Arabidopsis thaliana: one gene and its partners. The protein of the gene in region 4 interacts with the protein of the main gene of each other region in a pairwise test. Each region holds a gene or a part of one and is shown on either strand. Other genes may lie near its edges. The genes, in order: PRS, RSZ22, AT5G58340 and GATA6.

Region 1 (3,857 bases), on a different chromosome or scaffold from region 4:
AAACCAAAAAACCTGATAAATCAACCTCATAACTAACCACTTACACATCTAGCTGCGCCAGAACTGAGTTTTTTTGTTCACCATCTATTGAACTTTATCGATTTTTTTCGAGTAAACAATATTTTAAAAATCTTATTATATATAATGCATGTGTTTTTAACAGTTTGTTTATAACACAAAAAATAAGTTAATTTAACCACAATAATTTATTTCCCATACATTTTTAACATTTTGTATATAACACAAAAACGTAAGTCATACTATATTTATTTTATCTTTTTGCCAAACCATAAAAATATGTGATGTGAAGTTGTAATTAGTAAAAAAGCTTTGTAATCACTTTTAAATTATTATCATCATGAGAAAATAAAAGAGAGAAAGGAGAGAATCATAGTACATATCAAAAGGAAAGGTGACCACATCAAAATAAAGAGTGAAGTTACACGTTAGACAAAGGAGATCTTTCTCACTGTCTAGTCCTAAAGACAATAGCCTACACATGCATGCATGCAATTACAGAAACCAAGACACCCATTTTAACAACTCATAATAACTCCCAAACCCCATCAAAGATCTTATAAAAAGAAAAGAACTTTTAACAAAATTAATTTAAAGAAAAGTACCCATTAGTTCTACTGCGGAGATAGAGACATATGAAAGAAGAGAGAGAGAGATTTGTAGTTATTCAACGAATTATATCCAACGGCTATTACTTTACCCTCAAGTACACGTGTTTTCTTCTTAGCCTTTGACACATCATACAGTGATACATGAATGAAACACCTGCAGAATCTCTTTTGTATTTGTTGTCTTTTCTTTAAAGTTTGGTACTGTCTTGTTTGGAGTTGATAGATGAGATTGGGAAAAGTTCCAGGGTTTTCAATGGTATCTTTGGACTGCTCATCATCATGTTACAACATGAAATGGGTGATGATGATGATGAGGGATATGATGGTCGTGGGCCCATATCCATCATCATCATCCAATCTCGACCGTACGATGAGTTTGGACCCGTGATTGATTTTTGCATCAATATCTCTTCAGCTCCACTTTTGGTGCAGTAATATTCATTCATCACTTTGCTTGGAGCTTCTCCTACTCCAGTTCCCTATATTTTCCATAACAATGATCATCATACAATATAAAACTAACAAAAGAAAATTGTAGTAAACATATTAACAAGTTGTTATTCCTTTTTAAAACCAAAAAAAAAATTTTTTTATTCTAGACCCCAAAAAAAGTATTCTCACTTGCAGCTTTCCCATCTAGCCATGTAAACAGGGTATAATAGCCAAAAACATTTGGTATTTTAAAGGTTTGAAATTAGTGTTTCCGGTAATTAAAAAAATTATCATAAATAATTTTAAGGTTTGAGATTAGTTCTTCAATTATGTTTTTCTTCTTCTTTTTGTAGGTATACAAATGTTTTGGTTATATCCATATGTAACCTAGCTATTTTGATGATAAACATTGCATTAAAAAAATCTTATGAAAGAAAAATGTTTAACAAAAAGAGAGAAAAGTAGACTCTTCTTAATTACATACCTGATGAGGAAGACACATGGGAGAAGGATGAGAGCAGCAATCAAAGGACATATGATCATATGGACGATGATGATTATGATGATGATTATGATGGTGATGATGATAAGGATTGTGATGATCGATGATATTCTTATTAACTGGTTGAGAAATCATCGATGATATTGGTTTTGGTTTGATCTGCTGAAGTTGGAGTTGAAGTTGATGTTGTTGCTGGTGAAGTTGCTTGGCTAGTTTCTTCCTCAGCTTCTGTCTATCTCTAGCCTTATGGTTCTGGAACCAGTAAAAGACGTTTTTGCCCTCGATTCTTCCATAGAACGCCAAGTGAGCTGTGATCTGTTGTATCTGCACCGCATTCGGAGTCCGTATACCACTCCGGTACATCTCTTCCAAGATCATCAGTTGCTCCGGCGTCGGACACCACCTCGTTGAAGCCACAGGACTCATTCTCCGTTCAGACAAATATTGATGCTTTGTGTGTGTGTTCTCTAGTGATGCTATCTCCAAACACTTAGGGTTATATAGAGAGAGATGTGTGTGTGTGTGGATGAGGTTATTTATACGCGAAAACGGATGTTTATATGGTTAGAGAGAAAATGGTAAAGTTATAAATATTAAAGTGCATTGGAAAGGGACGCAAGAGAAGGAAGGGTTAGACAGAAAATAAACATAAAGAAAGAACATTGTACTATATTGTTTTTTATGTTGTATTCAAACTGGCCCAATCTCATATGCTCCCAAAATTATTACATTACGTACTCTACTTCTGTAAATGTGAATTTAGTATATATGTATAAAGGAATATATTTTTTGGAATAACTATAGTTTTCACCTTTCAAAGTTTATTTTGTCGGGAGTTTTCACTTTCGTCTACAGTAGTGTATATTAATATAGGGGATATAATCGAACGGCACATAATTCAAACATCATTGGTTGCAAAATGCAAATAACTCAAACATCATTGGTTTTAAATAGAAAGAAACGTTACATAATCACTTTGTAAAACATATAATCACTCTATGTAAGAAAAAAGTTTTGTAGAATAGCTTACGACATTCTCCAAAATTATGTGCCTTTTCTCTTAAAAGGGGAGAGAAAGAGAAAAGGAACAAAAATCAAAGAGAAACAATGAAGGTGTATGGGTTCTCGAGGTGGATCATTCAATAGGTTTTTAAAATATATACAATTCTCTCTTACAATTAATTAAGACATTGACTCATCCTTCTGTGTACAAACATAAAACCACAGTCTCATTTTTATTTTTGTGCAGAAAGGTGAAACATACAAAACAAAGAGAAACGCCAGTACTCATTAACAAATGATAAATTTACATTTTTATAGATTATAAAAAGTTCCACAAAAAATTATAATTAGATATTATCACTAAAATATGATCAATCATATCAAGACCTAGAATATATAAACATATGTGTACATATGTATCTGTGTGAATATGCATGTATGTAGAGAGAGAATGAAGAGAAACAATTAAATGATTATGTCATAATTACTTTATTATGATTTACTTCTCTCAACAGGATGACGTTGACACATCATATTAAAAGAAAAAAATGGTTAAATTTCTCAAATCTTTACATGGACAGACAAGCTAGTAAATAGGTACACCAATGTGAAATGAAAATATACGCGTTCTATGTATTAATTATGTTTTCATGATCTAACATACACCATTATAATCAGAAGTACATTTACTTTTAATTTACACATTGACATGTATTGATTTAACAAATTTTGTAAATTAAGACATAAAAATGAGTTTCAAATATCACATCAGGCATAGAATTGTCTGTTTAGAATCTCCAGAAACTGAGCATTTTGACTTTAACGTCTGCATGCAAAAACATTGCATGCATTAGCATTCGCACCTATATATTAGTTGTCTATAGGCTCCAAAGCCCTGTCTCTGCCCCTCTGTCAACATTCTTGATTCTGGATATTCAATTCTTTTGGGACTAAAGGATATTAATGTCCTCTTCTAGAAATAATCATATTGAAATTCCACATTTTTAAATTCTACATTACCAATAATATTTCAGTTAAAAACCTATAAAGTTTATAGCTCGATTTGTTAGGTTTGGTGAAGAAAGTTTCAGGTCGGCTTTTTGAAAAGAAAATAAAAAAAGAGTTTCAGGTCGGTGATATAACCGTAAAAAGTTAGATATTTAATTTTCATGATTTAGTTCAAGTAATTAAAGTCCTATTTATTAGGTGGCTATATATACTAACGAAAACACAATACATATACGTATCTTAATGCCGGAGTATTAGTTTAGGTTGATTGGTTCCGGCATGCG
Region 2 (5,035 bases), on a different chromosome or scaffold from region 4:
ATTGTAACTGTAAATAACTAACAAGAACCAGTTTTCTGACTAAACTGAAACAAGAGAAAGACCAATATTTATTGTATTCTCTGAGGATCTTAGGACATTCTCAACTTAGTGTCGGTGAAAAGTGAAGAAACGTGGAGCAAAAAAAGTGTCGGCAGAGGAAGTGGAATGAGGAGAAGCATAATTGCAGAAAAAAAGCAGAGGTCAGAGAGGTTTACGTCACATAACAATCAATTCAATGATGTGTAAGTGAAGAATGGGACCAAACAGATTTTAATTTGGTGGGTTTGTTGATGATTCTGGGACCGAACTAGGATCATGATCTTGTCTCTCTTGCTTTTCTAGGCTTTTAATTGTTGTCATGCCAAAACAACGTCTCCATGTCTACTTCGCAAGTATACTTTTATTTTTTCACTTAATTTGGGATTTATAGTTGCTGAAACGAAACCATAGCTAGTTGTTACGTGAATAAGAGCAAATCAGATTATGTATTCAATCTTCCTCTTAGGCAATTACTTTGCTTCACCTTCATAAAAGTGAACAATTTCACAACTATGCTTAAGTGAAATGAACACAAGTACCAAATGGTAGCAACTGATACGCATTTACAAATTCTTGACTTGCCTATATAAACCGTGAAATGCACAAAAATCTATCCAAGGACAAGAATGTGCATACTAAACACTATCACATAGCTACAATTATGCTAAACCTAATGCACAACATTCAGACCACACAAGAGGTGCTTCTGAGTGATGCAGCTCAAGTTCATGCAAAGAAGGTAACCTCAAAGCTGATGAAGTTTTCAAACAATAGCGCATCTCTAGGGTCGAAGATGAAGTAGAAGCAAGCCATGTAGGGATCCACAACCGTAGTTAACTTTTCCCATAGCAGGCCGAGTAACTAAACGAAGATGATTCATAGCAGAAGAGTAGAGAAGCAAGTAGATAAACAATGAAGCAGGCCGAGCAACTAAATGAAGATGATGTTAGGGATCCACAACCGTGGTTTAACTTTTCCCATACCAGGCCGAGCAACTAAATGCAGATGATTCATAGCAGAAGAGTAGAGAAGCAAGCAGATAAACAATGAAGTAGGCCAAGAAACTAAGGAAGATGCTTCATATGAGAAGAGTAGAGAAGCAAGTAGATAAGCAATGAAGCAGTAGTAGTAGTAGTAGACCCGAAGAAACCTCGACACGGTGGAAAAAGACAAGAAACGCTTAGGCATTTAGCAGAATTTCCAATCAAACATTATGTCTTTAAGAAACTAGGGTACGAATCAAGTGTTCTTTTACCTATTGGTAGATACACAACTACGTACGTTTCATATCCAAAAGCAAAAGTAGCAAGCTTTATCCAACCCAGCAGACCTAAAACATGTTCTCTTACTGAAATTCATAGATGATAGTAACTTCCCTTAGTCCCTCTCTTCTTCTCTTCCAAAGTATCCTCCCACACACTCGTTTTCTTGCAAAATCACTCACTCAGCTCCTGCTTCTGCGTCTTTCTTTCAGTCCATTTCTGAAGAAACAAGAACAGATGTTGAATTAGCATCTGAAGAAAATGTAAATGTTTATCTCTAAGAACTATAACCAAAACCTAAACACTGATAATGATATAGAGACTTGGGAAAAAGAAATTTACCCATTAGCATATGGCACTTCCTCACGCGCTCTGTATGGAGGTGGTGATCTACTGTAGCTGCGGCCACGGGCAGGAGGAGGAGAAGGACTGCGGCGCCTTGGAGGAGGGGGAGATCTTGCACGAGGGCTGTAACTCCTAAAACCAGAAAAAGGCAAGGTTACTTAATCCGTTCAAAATAAGGTACTAAGGTAACAAAATAAAAAGCATCACTGACCTCCGTCCATAGCTTGGGCTCCTTCTGTATCTTGGAGGAGTGCGACTACGGCTCTTGCTGCGACGCCTTCCAGTTCCACCACGGTTACGGCATTCACGTGCGAAATGACCAGTCTCACCGCATTCATAGCATTTCAAATCAGAGCCACCACGACCACCACGGCCGCCGCCACCACCTCCACGGTCACCACCACGACCGCCGCCACCACGCTCACCTCGATTGTGAGACTGTTCAACCCTCCAGCCATTCTTGCCTATCCGTTATCACAATATCCATGTCAAATTGTGAAGTTTCAAGTCAAAAGTAATTGCAAACCTCAAATTTCTCTCCTTTAAAAGATTCCACCAAACTTATTTTCCAATCCCAATCAAAACATCAACTTCTAAGAGAACAAAGCAAAATAGAAAGAATATGAATGCATCATTACCATCTAAAGCACGGATAGCATCACGGGCATCCCTAGGATCTTCGAAATCTAGAAAAGCGTAACCAGGTGGTCTACGGGCAACCCAAACACTGCACATTACATATGAACATTAGAGAGATGCAAAATTGGATACTTTTAACTTCAAAAGTGACAAAATTGTAGCGCGAACTGATTGATTGGATTGATTCTTACCTCCTGACAACTCCAAAGGCACGGAACTCATCCTCAAGTTCACGCTCAGTAACTCGCGGGTCCAAATTTCCGACGTACACACGTGACATTACTTCTGTAACCTGTCAATGGCACAATAAACCAAGGTCAACATAAAGGAATTCTAAATCTTTTCTAGTAAGACATTCGAAAGGATTTGAATTCATCGAGAAAAAATACAGAGTCACTAGATCCACCAAGTGACCCGATCAAATTTGAACAGATCGGATCAACGTTACCACAATTAAGAGTGAGAAGGAGATAAAGAAACTTGGTTGCGACCTACCTTGTGGGAAGAGCTGAAAGCACTCAAGGGGCAAAAAGAATGGCTTTTTCTGTGTTTTGCTTTGTGAAGAAATTAGGGTTTCTGAATCTGAAATTTGATGAAATACTTTCCAAAGGGTTTTGTAAGCGCGTTAACAAAATTTAGTAAATATACAATTTGGGCCTATTTATTGGGCTTAAAAGTAGCCTTTTCATGCCTTTTTTCAATAATATGTTAGTGTCGGTGATATTTATTTTTTCTCTGTATAGTTTGTTAAATACTTAAATGTGATCATTTCACGTATTTTGCTTTGTATTTCTGAAAATAATGAATAGCAGAATAGGGAAAAAGAAAAATAATAGAACTTCAAGTCTCTCTAGTTAAATCACACTTTCATTCCACAGCTACTAAATAAACTTTCTTTCTTATTCGTTTGAAAACCCAAGCAGTTTGTGATTCGGATCAATAAAAATGCTGAAACCACAGTTTGCTTGGTTAATATAAGCTAAACAATGAATTAAAAACAAAGACAAAGACAAAAAAAAAAAAAAAAAAAAAAAAAAAAAATTAGTGTTGGAGACGACAACACATCACCACTTTGATGAGCCCATGCATGCTATAACGAGAAACCAGCTGCAAATATACGATTAAAACACGTCTTAAAAGCTTAGCAAATCAAGCTACTCTTTGCAACTTGTTTTGGGATTAAAAAAAAAAAAGTCAGTAATGAGCTTACGAAATTGGAAGTTTGGTTAGACCACGAAAGCAGCCAAAAGAGCATGCAATATCGCCCAGTATAGCATGATCCCTAACCGTAAAGCAGGTTGTCTCATGAGCGTCCGATCACAAGAGACCCTGAAAAGTTCAGAAACCAAATAAAAGGGTCGTTTTTTGTTAGATCATAATTAAAGAACTTTACACTGAACGAGATCCATGGATGAAAAGAGTCTGACCATAAACCATCGACCATGTTAGTGATGGGTCTTGTGAATCTAGGAATGATTCTTGACGTAGAGAGTGATCTGAAACCATGAGCTAAAAAACAGAAAAAATACAAATGGGAATGTTACTAAGAAATGTTGTTAAAAGTACTAAATATTCAGAGACAAGTTTAATTACCTTTATCATCATCTTCTTCTAAGCTACCGCTTTGATCAGTTTGATCTGCATCTATACTAATGGCGACTTGATCCATATTTCCCTTACGCAAACTCCGGACTTGTGATGGAATCGATGTTTTTGTCCACTTGTTTATCTGTGATATCCAACAAAAAAAAATCCACAATTAAAAATTTATCATCTTGAGGCATCTGGAATGGTGTAACTATTTAACAAGCTCAAAGCTTACCAGAGGTTCCACTTCAACGATCTCTGACGTCGAGCTTGTTGAAATGTCTTGTTGGGATTCTTTCTCAAGTAAGAATTTCTCAAGAGTTGCTTCTTTCTGTCTGAGCTCAGCCACTCTACTCCTCTCGCCTTCAAGCAAAACGTCCTTGCTTTGTCCAACCAACCGTAATTCGTCTATTTCAGATAGCATAGACGCTATCCTTTTCTCAAATGTCTCCATGTAGTGGTTTATATGACTGTCAGCATCAGTGGACAGCGAATCTTCTATACCAAGTAGTGAAGCTATCGTGTCGAACCAAGACAGTACAGTTTGGATCTCTTCTGAATCTCTCTTAGTGCCCATCTGAGAAGCAGCAAGAGCCTCATTGGTGCACCTAGTGACTTCTTGTCTTAAGAAAGAAACCTCTGTATCCCGATCTTGCACTTGCTGTTGAAGTTTCTCGATTTCAGCAAGAAGATTTTCAGAGAGGTGATGGAGCTCATCGAATTTATCCACAGTAATTGATAGCTTTTTGGAAATCTTCCCACGAGAAGCTTCAGCTTTCTGCAAGTCTAGGTTCTTCTGTTGCACTTCCTGTTCTAATTCTGTAACTCTGAGTTTCAGATCCTCCATCTGAGACTCTTCCTCGTCAAGCGCTTGCATTAAGGCCTCAATTTCTGCAGGAAGCAATTAGGTATCAGCTATATATGTGGCGGTGCAAAAACAAAAGGGTAAAAGAGAAAAACTGACCTAGGTCTTTCGCAGCTAGTAGATCACTAAGAGATGTGACCTTCTCCTGTAATTCTGAGTGTGACGCCTGCCCTGCTAGCAGCTCTTTTACTCTCTCCTTCATAGAATCCCGTTCCCGAACCAAAATACCCAGCTGGTCTTGCATATCACGCATCCGGGCACTTGCAGATTGAAGATCTTCCGCAAAGATTTTTGCACC
Region 3 (4,937 bases), on a different chromosome or scaffold from region 4:
TGCTTTGTACACTGTCTTCATCGCTCCCCTTCCAAGAATTTCTGCAAACTGTTCCAACATAAAAAACCAAGTGTTACAACAAGGTTTTGATCCATGAACATAGAATCTGTCTCCTTACTTACACGTCCATAGCGACCAGTTGGATCAGTTTCCACATACTCTGCAACTTGATTCATATTCATGGTTGACCAAAAACCGATTGATGATCCCAAAAATGTTTAAGAGGACACAGACTTTCGTTTTTATAACAGAGAAATTTTCCGGTGGCCAAAAGTCGTCCTGTTTACTTCTTCGTGCTACTTCATTAAAGAAGCGTCAGCAGAAAATATGTTGAACAGTCGTTGGCGTCAATCACCCATTTGGGATAAAAAGAATAAAGACAATTTGCCTTAACCTTGCTTGCATCACATATATTATAGAAAATCATATATTTATTTTTATTGACCCAATTGTAAATCTAAAAATCGAAAGTTTGACAAATCTTACTTGCCAATACAAGATACTCAAACCACAAAAATGAAAAAAAAATCATCAAACGTGTACCACATTGAAAACACATGGCTAAATATGCTCAAAAGATGCCCTTGTTTATTTTGTGAACCACAAACACAATTGCAAAGAGGATAAGAGTTAAGAAAGTGTGGATACTGGGAAATGCGATATTCAGGAAAGAGTTTTGTTTCTTGAGGAAACTGCACAATTTTCAATTGAACCAATTATTAGTTTGGTGAACACAAGCAATCCAAAATAAATAGATTGAGGTTAACAAAAATAAAACGACAAAGAAAAGGGGAAAAGTCAGAACAGAAGTGGGGAACATGACAAGAAGTTGTAGAGAATAGAGTGATAGTGACATCACCGTTGAAAATTGTTTTGTTTTTGTTGGCGGCCAGTTCCTGCAGCCCTCAAGGAGTTCACGGTTCTGTAATAAACTAATAACACGTAACAAATATGCATTCACCAATAAAGTATGTGCATGAGAGCTCCCATCATATTACTTCGCTTTTTATCTAAGGAGGGTCTGAATGTTAACAGGCAATATCTAAGGAGGGTCCGAATGTTTGACAGGCAATATCATAGATCAAAATGGTTATGCATTTTTTGACTACTGTTTTGTTCTGGTTTAGATGTTAGTTGACACGTGGAAAAGGAGAGAGGGAAGCATGGTAGGAATTAGGAAATGAAGATAAGGATGGAATATATCTAAAACAAGAAAAGCCGTATAAGTTTGACACTGACTGACTACAGAGGTTGCAGCCAGAATTTTTCCCACAAGCATATAATTATATTCTGCTCATTCATCATTATCATTCACCACACAACATGGGAATGGCCCTTTCTCCACCATGTTCTCCACAGTTGATATATCACAATACACAAAGGTAAATAACTCTACAGCATTTTAAAACATATAGCACAAGATTCACAAAAGATGTTACCTCTACCCACCGACTAAGTTCCTCCATTTATCTTTCAAATCCACCTACCAAGTTACAACATTTACATCACTCACACTTGGCATATATCTTGTTCAAGTAAATGGTGAGTATGAATGTTAATAAGGAAATGTTCACCTCTGTCCTCTCCGCAAATACTGTAGGGTTTCCATTCTTTATATCTTTCCATGATTTACCATACCTGCACAACAACAACAACAAAATGAGCCAGTGGTATAATCTTAATGAGGTCCAAGATGTATCACTATTGAATATTGATAATAGAGTACGGGACTAGGCAAAGAGTGTTTGCATACTCTTTTACTCCTTCCCTCAGAGCTTCCACTTCTTCTGGCTTCCAGAATTTCTTTGGTCTCCTGACATGTGGTTTCGCCAATCCGCCTTTCTTTAATGGAGATACACTCAGAGTTACAGGGGTTGGTCGACGAGGCCGAACTCTGCTAGACCATGTTTCCTGACTATCCGAACCTTTCTCATTTACATTATCCTGTTTTCACAATTAAACCACAAATTCATGAACCAAAGAACAAGATTTTTAGAAAGCATCTTGAGGGAAAATTGACTAACACTCACCGATGCTTCGTTATGGTCTTGACAGCCTGTTCCAGTCCTATTCACCCGAGTAGGCGGAGGAGTGACATCTACTGAGTGATCAATTGCACTGTTAGGTTCTTCCCCTTGCCTAGTGGAAGGGTCGATGTGTCCTTGAATCTCTACTAAATATTCCTTCAGCTCTCGAGCAGCCATTTCGTCTCCCTTATCAAGACTTGGCTCATGTTCCTGATCTTGTGCACTCACTGTGTGCTCCTCGTCTGCTGCATTCACATTATCAATCCCATCATTCTCCAGACATTCCATTCCTTCACCATCATTAGCGTTGTCTCTACCAATCCCATTCCCGTCCTCCCTTTCACCACGCGCCTCGTTGGCGATATCAATAGTATCACTCCCAAAACGTCTCGTGCTTTCATCAACATCACTTTGATCCCCTCTGTTGTCAACAACATCACCCTCTACGTTCACAGCCTTGCGCTTAAGAAACCTTCTTTGAGCTACTGATTCAAGAGAGGAACTCCCAAGTAATGCCCACTGTTCTTTGAGAAGCTGAGTGAGAAAGGAAATGGCAGTGTACCTGATGTTAGTCTCACGAATTCGCTGATAGAGCTCAGGATCTCCAAGGGCCTTCTTCAAATCACTCTCCCATTTCAACAAGTCACAAGTCACCAAATCGCTACCACTCTCCTTCAAAATCCCAATCCTCTTCGTCCATATCCTCTCAAGCGCATCGGTGAACAAACCATCCGAAGCAAACATTGGCCACATAAATCTAAGCGTACACTCAGTAGCCGTCCAGCAATAAGCAGACTTGTGAGAATCCATGAGTAGCGAATGTTGCTGCAAGAGAAGCTTCTCAAGAATCTCGAGAAGATCGAGCATTCCCTCATCAATCGTACCTCGGATCAATGAATTGGAGATGTCACGCAAGACGGAAGATATCTTGAGCTTTATGCAGTCGGAGGAATCTCCTAATTTTAGCGCCGAAATCAGATTAATAGGGGAAGCCCTAGGATTGTGTTGTCGAAGGAGGAAAAATTCAGCAACCCATTGATCAATGACCTCCATTATTGAAACTTTCGCGATCAAAGTCGCAACTTTTTTAATTCTCTGGTCAGCGGATGCAATGTCGCCGGCGAAGACGAAAATCTCCGATCAGTGATCAAATTCGAACGGTTTCAGGTATATTCTGTTATTGGGCCTTAACTGGGCCTAAAAGTCAAAAGAAGATAAACGGTGAGGATGCTAAAAGAGTGACAAGTGTCAAGAGCTGAGCCTTATCCATAGATTCCCCAATCCTCTTTCTTACTACTCTGTCGCTTGGCGCGCTCTCTCTCCATAGTTCCAGTTCTGAAATCTCACTTTCACAGTTTGTGTCTGTGCGATAATGGCCATGGCAGAGCTCTCAACCCCCAAAACGACGTCGCCTTTTCTCAACTCTTCGTCTCGGCTTCGTCTCTCTTCAAAATTGCACCTTTCAAACCACTTTCGCCATCTTCTTCTTCCACCTCTCCACACAACAACTCCCAACTCCAAAATCTCTTGCTCCGTTTCTCAAAAGTAAGTCTCTTTAAGCTCCTAATCGTTTCTTCTCTCTTAAATAAATCAACTTTATCTGATCTTAGATGCTTTTGTGAATTGATGATAAAAGTAGCCAAGCTCCTGTTGCTGTGCAAGAAAATGGATTGGTGAAGACGAAGAAAGAGTGTTATGGAGTGTTCTGCCTCACCTATGATCTTAAAGCTGTATCTTACTATTCCCTCTTACTATTTTTCTATAAAAGAATCTTATCTTTGAGACTTGAGAATTGAGATAATCCTCTGCTTTACATGGATATAATAGTATTATGTGTGTGTTTGCCAGGAAGAAGAGACAAGATCATGGAAGAAGTTAATTAATATTGCAGTTTCAGGTGCTGCAGGAATGATTTCTAACCATCTTCTCTTCAAAGTAAGTTAATCCTTTAAGTTACTGTTTTATAGGATAAGGTTACCAATAATTGGTCTTATTTTATGTATCTTTGGTTTTCCGGGTGTGTAGCTTGCTTCAGGGGAAGTATTTGGTCCAGATCAACCCATTGCATTGAAACTGCTAGGATCAGAGAGATCAATTCAAGCTCTTGAAGGTGTTGCAATGGAACTGGAGGATTCATTGTTCCCATTGTTGAGAGAAGTTGATATAGGAACAGATCCAAATGAAGTGTTCCAAGATGTGGAGTGGGCTATTCTGATTGGAGCAAAACCTCGAGGCCCTGGAATGGAACGTGCTGACTTGTTGGACATCAATGGCCAAATCTTTGCTGAGCAGGGCAAAGCTCTGAACAAAGCTGCCTCTCCTAACGTCAAGGTTCTTGTAGTGGGAAACCCTTGCAACACCAAGTAAGCTACATTCCTTAATTCAACCCTCTTCATATCGTAATCAGTGACAAACATTGGAAGTATACTTTACCTCATTTTGTGTTCTTTCAGTGCCTTGATTTGTCTTAAAAATGCTCCCAACATTCCTGCAAAGAACTTCCATGCCCTCACGAGGTTAGACGAAAATCGTGCCAAATGCCAGGTACTAGATTTCACACCTATATGTGATTGTATGCAATATATTTGCATACATATGATTGACAATTTCCATTTTGTAGCTTGCTCTTAAAGCCGGTGTTTTCTATGACAAAGTGTCTAATATGACCATATGGGGAAATCACTCCACGACTCAGGTTTGCCTTATCTTACTCTAGTGTCATCTATTCTCTACATTTATCTTGGGATGTTTCTCTAATCTTTTAGAGGAAAATTAGGTGCCAGACTTCTTAAATGCCAGAATTAATGGCCTGCCTGTGAAGGAGGTTATTACAGATCACAAATGGTTAGAAGAGGGATTCACTGAGAGTGTGCAGAAGGTAAGATGGCGATTCCTCTGATAATGAAATGA
Region 4 (3,926 bases):
CAACTCAACTAAAACCATACGAGGAATAAAGTCCCAAGGTAAATTGGTAATTCGTGATAATCTCAAAGATATGGTCAACGAATATTATCACATTGCAAAAATGGATAATATTATCACGTCAACTAAGGTCGTATTCAATCTCCAAAAATACGCAGAGTAATAAATTAGTCAATAAGAGAGTGTGCCCAGTACGTTTATTTTTCTTTTTTCAGTTATTGTATATATTTTTATTTGTGAAATTTGTTTTTTTTTTCAGTTATATTATGTCAATTTTAGAAATACAAGAGAAAATGTGATGGATATAAATAAGTAACAACAAAAAATTGGAGTTACTAACCCTGAAATAAAGCCTACTCCTAATTTGGTATAAATTGATCTCATATTTTATACACTTGATAACTATCAGTCTACCAATAATTATTGAGCATACATTCTAACTAGAAAATGAACCATCTCTATCAATTAATATAAAAACTATATATTATAACGTAAATATAACGTTAGAGGAGGTTAAGAAAAAAAGAATTCTGAAAATTAATGCGAAACAAAACAAATATAATAGTAAGAGTTTTAAAAGTTTTAACCAGTTACTAAATCTAAAAACCTACTACGACTAACAAACAAAAAATCAAATTTGTAATTTAAAACATACATAACCCGTTAACATACTAACTGGTGATAAATCTGAACCGGGTCGGATCCTAATTCTGCTCCTTTAAAAACCTTCCACAATTTCTTCAAAAACTCGAGACAACCTGAACCGTCTGAACCGGCTGGTTCAAACCGGTTTCTTCAGCACCGTCAGAAGTCTCTTTCTTCCTACGCATCTCAATGACTTTACTGTGGTGGTTTGAGTGAAGCTCACTCGAAAATGTTGGGCTACAAGCGGGTCTATATTCGGGTAGTAACCGACCCGATTTGTAACGCACACCACACGCATTACACAACGTCTTCGCTCCTAATGGTCCTGCTCTCCACTGCGGCGTTTTCTGAACTCCACAATGACCACACTGCCGCGTCTGCGTCTGCGTTTGCGTTTGCGTCTGACCAGCGTTTTTCCAAACTTTCTTCTTCTTTTGTGTTTTAGTCATTGGCTCATCAAGAAACTGACCGCTGGCGAGCCATAGAGGGCTTGAAGGACGAGGAGAGGACGACGAAGATGTTGTAGAGCTTGAAGATGAGTCGGTTAACGACTGCGAACCATGAGACCAGACTCTGACTCCGGTTCTGGCTCGTTTGGGTCTGGTTTTGACGGCCGGATGTTGGGATTTGAAGCAGGTCTCCTCTTTAACCGGTTGTACAAGATGTCTCCGATTTCCGGTTAACCAAACCGGTTTATTCGTCGGAGCAGAATACGGCGTGAAAGAAGAATCATCTACGAAATTTGATAACCATTCAAGTTCCGCTATATCATCCATCTAACAATCAAAACATGAAAAGCAAGAAATTAACAATGCAATGACTGATAATTTTTATAAATTTTGCGAAAATGAAAACACAAATTCATACCGGAACGGAAAGCCCGCTAGTGTGGAAATCAGCGGTGGAGAAATCGTTGCTCCGGTGAAGGGTATTTTCGTCAGAGACTCCTCTTTTTCGTTGTACTTTCAATTCAGCCTCATCCTCAACCAAAACGTCGTCGTCTTCTTCTTCTTTTGAGAAGTCAAGCAAGTCGTCGACGGAGAAATCATCGCCATTTTGAGCGCCGCCGGTTAGGGTTTTGTCTTTCATGTTACTGTTCTTCAACGTCAATTCAACACTCTCCATTATTTCCTATCAAACCCCACCAACACAAATTAGGTTTTCTTCTTTTCTTTTGGCTTCCTCAGAATTATCAAAAACTCTCCAAAAATTATCTTTAAAAAAAAAACTCCCCCCGAAAAAAAAAACGTTCCTTTATTTTTCCAAATTCAAACAGAAAAACCCAAAAGAAAAATCACGAAAACCCAGAACCACAACTTGGTGAAACGAACCATGATTTGACTAAGCCACAGATAAAAATTCAATCTTTTTCAAACAATGTGACGAGTAAGTAACCTTCAAAAAAAACTAAAATTGGAATTACCTGAGATGAGAAGAGACAGAGAGTGAAGAGAGGAGATATGTCGGTGAATGAGAAGAAGAAGAAGAGTGGTGAGAATTTAGAAGAAGAGGTGAGTTTGGTAAAGCATTGAATATGATAGTGACTCCAGACCAAAGCCCTCTTCTCCTAAAACTAAAAAAGTTGTGAGTTTCTCTTCTTTATTCTTTCTCAATCTCTTATTTTCCCAAGAACCAAAAAAAAAAGATAAAAATTGAAATATTTTGCTTTGGTGGGAACTATTTTTTTTTACCTTTTTACTCAACCGGCAAAAATTCATAAAAATGTCTACTTTTTGTAAATTCAAAGCGTACATACGCGCTACTGTGAAACGAGAGATGACTGAAAAAAGAACGGTCTCGTTTTCGTTACCCAATCACATACATATTTGGGCTGTATTGGGCTATGTTGGGCTGGGCTTTCTGAAATTTTACGATTTGGGTATCTCATTAACAATGGCTTTTCTCCTCCCGTCTTCTTCAATTCAAAACTGTTTGTGATGATTACTCAGCGATATGCGATTAAAAGCTTCAAATTTGCAGAAACCCATCTTCTTCAGCTCCTACTCTGCCCATGATGTCAGATTCTCTTCTTTCTTAACCTCTCTTTTGAATTCATATGTGGGCTTAAGATTGTTGGTTTCATTTCATGTCTACTTTATTCCTTTTGTAATTTGACTTTTCGCTACCTGTCAATAGCTTATGGTGAATTTGGCTTGTGGTATCGCTAAAGCATCATAATCTCTTCTTCATTACTGCTATGTTTCTACTTGTTGGAACAAAATTTCATTTATTGGTGTGCCTTACTTTTCCCAGTGAAATGATTCATAGCCTTACAAGAGAATATCATAACCATGTTAAAAAAAGCAATATGAAGTAAGGAAAACAAAAATGTTCTAATTAGTCTATATAGTTTAAGAAGACTAAAGCTATTTCTTATACTGACAAATTCTTTTGGGGATTATAGATATGAGTAGTGTGTTGTATTATAATGATGCTTCTGCTACTTTCAAATGCAGATTCTCAGAGCGTCTTTCATTGAGAAGTTTCTGGTCTCCAGAATCCTTTTTGTGCACTTAAGATTCCTTCTTGGTGTTTGGAGAAAGTTAAGTGAACATCCCAGTGCAGTGACTTCAACATGTTCTCAACTTCTCTTATCACATTTGATTCGTCACGAACTATTAGTTTACCTCCTGGTCTTACTATTCTATCCACTTCTGCCATTACTGGAACAAGATTGCACCTTTCAAAACAAAACAAAACAAGAGACTTATTGTTGATGAAACGTTACCAAAAGGTGTGGATATTATGAGTTACGCTTATACCTTGTTCTCAACTTTGAGAAAAGATGATCTGCATGTAAGAGATCATAGCTTCGAGGGTATGTGCTAAATGATTCACACCAGTCATGATATATTCCGAATAGGCCTCTCTCGTAGATTATCGGTAGTGTATCTGGTGAATTTATGTTTACTACATTCATTACCCACACCTGTAGGTCCTTCAGAGCTGCTGCAAACCTGCATTTTTACGTAGTTAGTAAAAAAAGGTTTAGTTTTGGTAAGTGAGATTTTAGTTTGATTTGTTTTCGTTGATGCTCACCCTCCGTAGACAGCTCGCATGTCCATTACATTCCTCACATTTGACCAGCTGATTCCTATTTCATTCATGTATACTTTGCTTACAACATGTTTCCAGTGTTCATAATCTGTAGTGAAATCTCGAGGAGCTGGTTTCCCATATATCCCCATTTGAGAGCTGTTTAACCAGTAAGGCGGTGTTTGAAGCCGACGGGGCCAATTCACGGGCCACTTGCTTCCTCTCTCGACCACATTGGTAGGAACTTT

What was found.
Region 1: the proteins of GATA6 (region 4) and PRS interact in a two-hybrid assay, tested with the Arabidopsis thaliana proteins (one large-scale study listed by BioGRID).
Region 2: the proteins of GATA6 (region 4) and RSZ22 interact in a two-hybrid assay, tested with the Arabidopsis thaliana proteins (one large-scale study listed by BioGRID).
Region 3: the proteins of GATA6 (region 4) and AT5G58340 interact in a two-hybrid assay, tested with the Arabidopsis thaliana proteins (one large-scale study listed by BioGRID).

Annotation. Positions count from the first base shown.
Region 1 is NC_003071.7:12,260,247-12,264,103, reverse strand, and holds PRS (Homeodomain-like superfamily protein), read right to left. Parts: upstream 2,092-3,857; 5' UTR 1,990-2,091; coding exon 1,546-1,989; intron 1,109-1,545; coding exon 818-1,108; 3' UTR 509-817; downstream 1-508. UniProt on the Arabidopsis thaliana protein: Probable transcription factor required to initiate organ founder cells in a lateral domain of shoot meristems.
Region 2 is NC_003075.7:15,304,513-15,309,547, reverse strand, and holds RSZ22 (serine/arginine-rich 22), read right to left. Parts: upstream 3,005-5,035; 5' UTR 2,781-3,004; exon of another isoform or gene 2,777-2,780; intron 2,578-2,776; 5' UTR 2,566-2,577; coding exon 2,477-2,565; intron 2,374-2,476; coding exon 2,285-2,373; intron 2,111-2,284; coding exon 1,858-2,110; intron 1,779-1,857; coding exon 1,644-1,778; intron 1,521-1,643; coding exon 1,484-1,520; 3' UTR 513-1,483; downstream 1-512. Other genes in the region: AT4G31570 (nucleoporin), read right to left, coding at 3,512-3,614, 3,679-3,781, 3,879-4,014, 4,108-4,763, 4,837-5,035. UniProt on the Arabidopsis thaliana protein: Sequence-specific RNA-binding protein probably involved in pre-mRNA splicing. In vitro, can complement efficiently splicing-deficient mammalian SRSF7-depleted HeLa cell extract.
Region 3 is NC_003076.8:23,580,750-23,585,686, reverse strand, and holds AT5G58340 (myb-like HTH transcriptional regulator family protein), read right to left. Parts: upstream 3,193-4,937; 5' UTR 3,081-3,192; coding exon 2,031-3,080; intron 1,945-2,030; coding exon 1,754-1,944; intron 1,639-1,753; coding exon 1,575-1,638; intron 1,484-1,574; coding exon 1,442-1,483; 3' UTR 1,440-1,441; exon of another isoform or gene 1,217-1,439; intron 923-1,216; 3' UTR 860-922; exon of another isoform or gene 693-859; 3' UTR 539-692; downstream 1-538. Other genes in the region: WNK4 (with no lysine (K) kinase 4), read right to left, coding at 1-48, 123-182; AT5G58330 (lactate/malate dehydrogenase family protein), read left to right, coding at 3,400-3,572, 3,664-3,757, 3,876-3,962, 4,053-4,390, 4,481-4,571, 4,648-4,722, 4,804-4,905.
Region 4 is NC_003074.8:18,971,480-18,975,405, reverse strand, and holds GATA6 (GATA transcription factor 6), read right to left. Parts: upstream 2,281-3,926; 5' UTR 2,066-2,280; intron 1,774-2,065; 5' UTR 1,768-1,773; coding exon 1,510-1,767; intron 1,419-1,509; coding exon 738-1,418; 3' UTR 514-737; downstream 1-513. Other genes in the region: AT3G51070 (S-adenosyl-L-methionine-dependent methyltransferases superfamily protein), read right to left, coding at 3,115-3,322, 3,405-3,599, 3,682-3,926. UniProt on the Arabidopsis thaliana protein: Transcriptional activator that specifically binds 5'-GATA-3' or 5'-GAT-3' motifs within gene promoters. May be involved in the regulation of some light-responsive genes.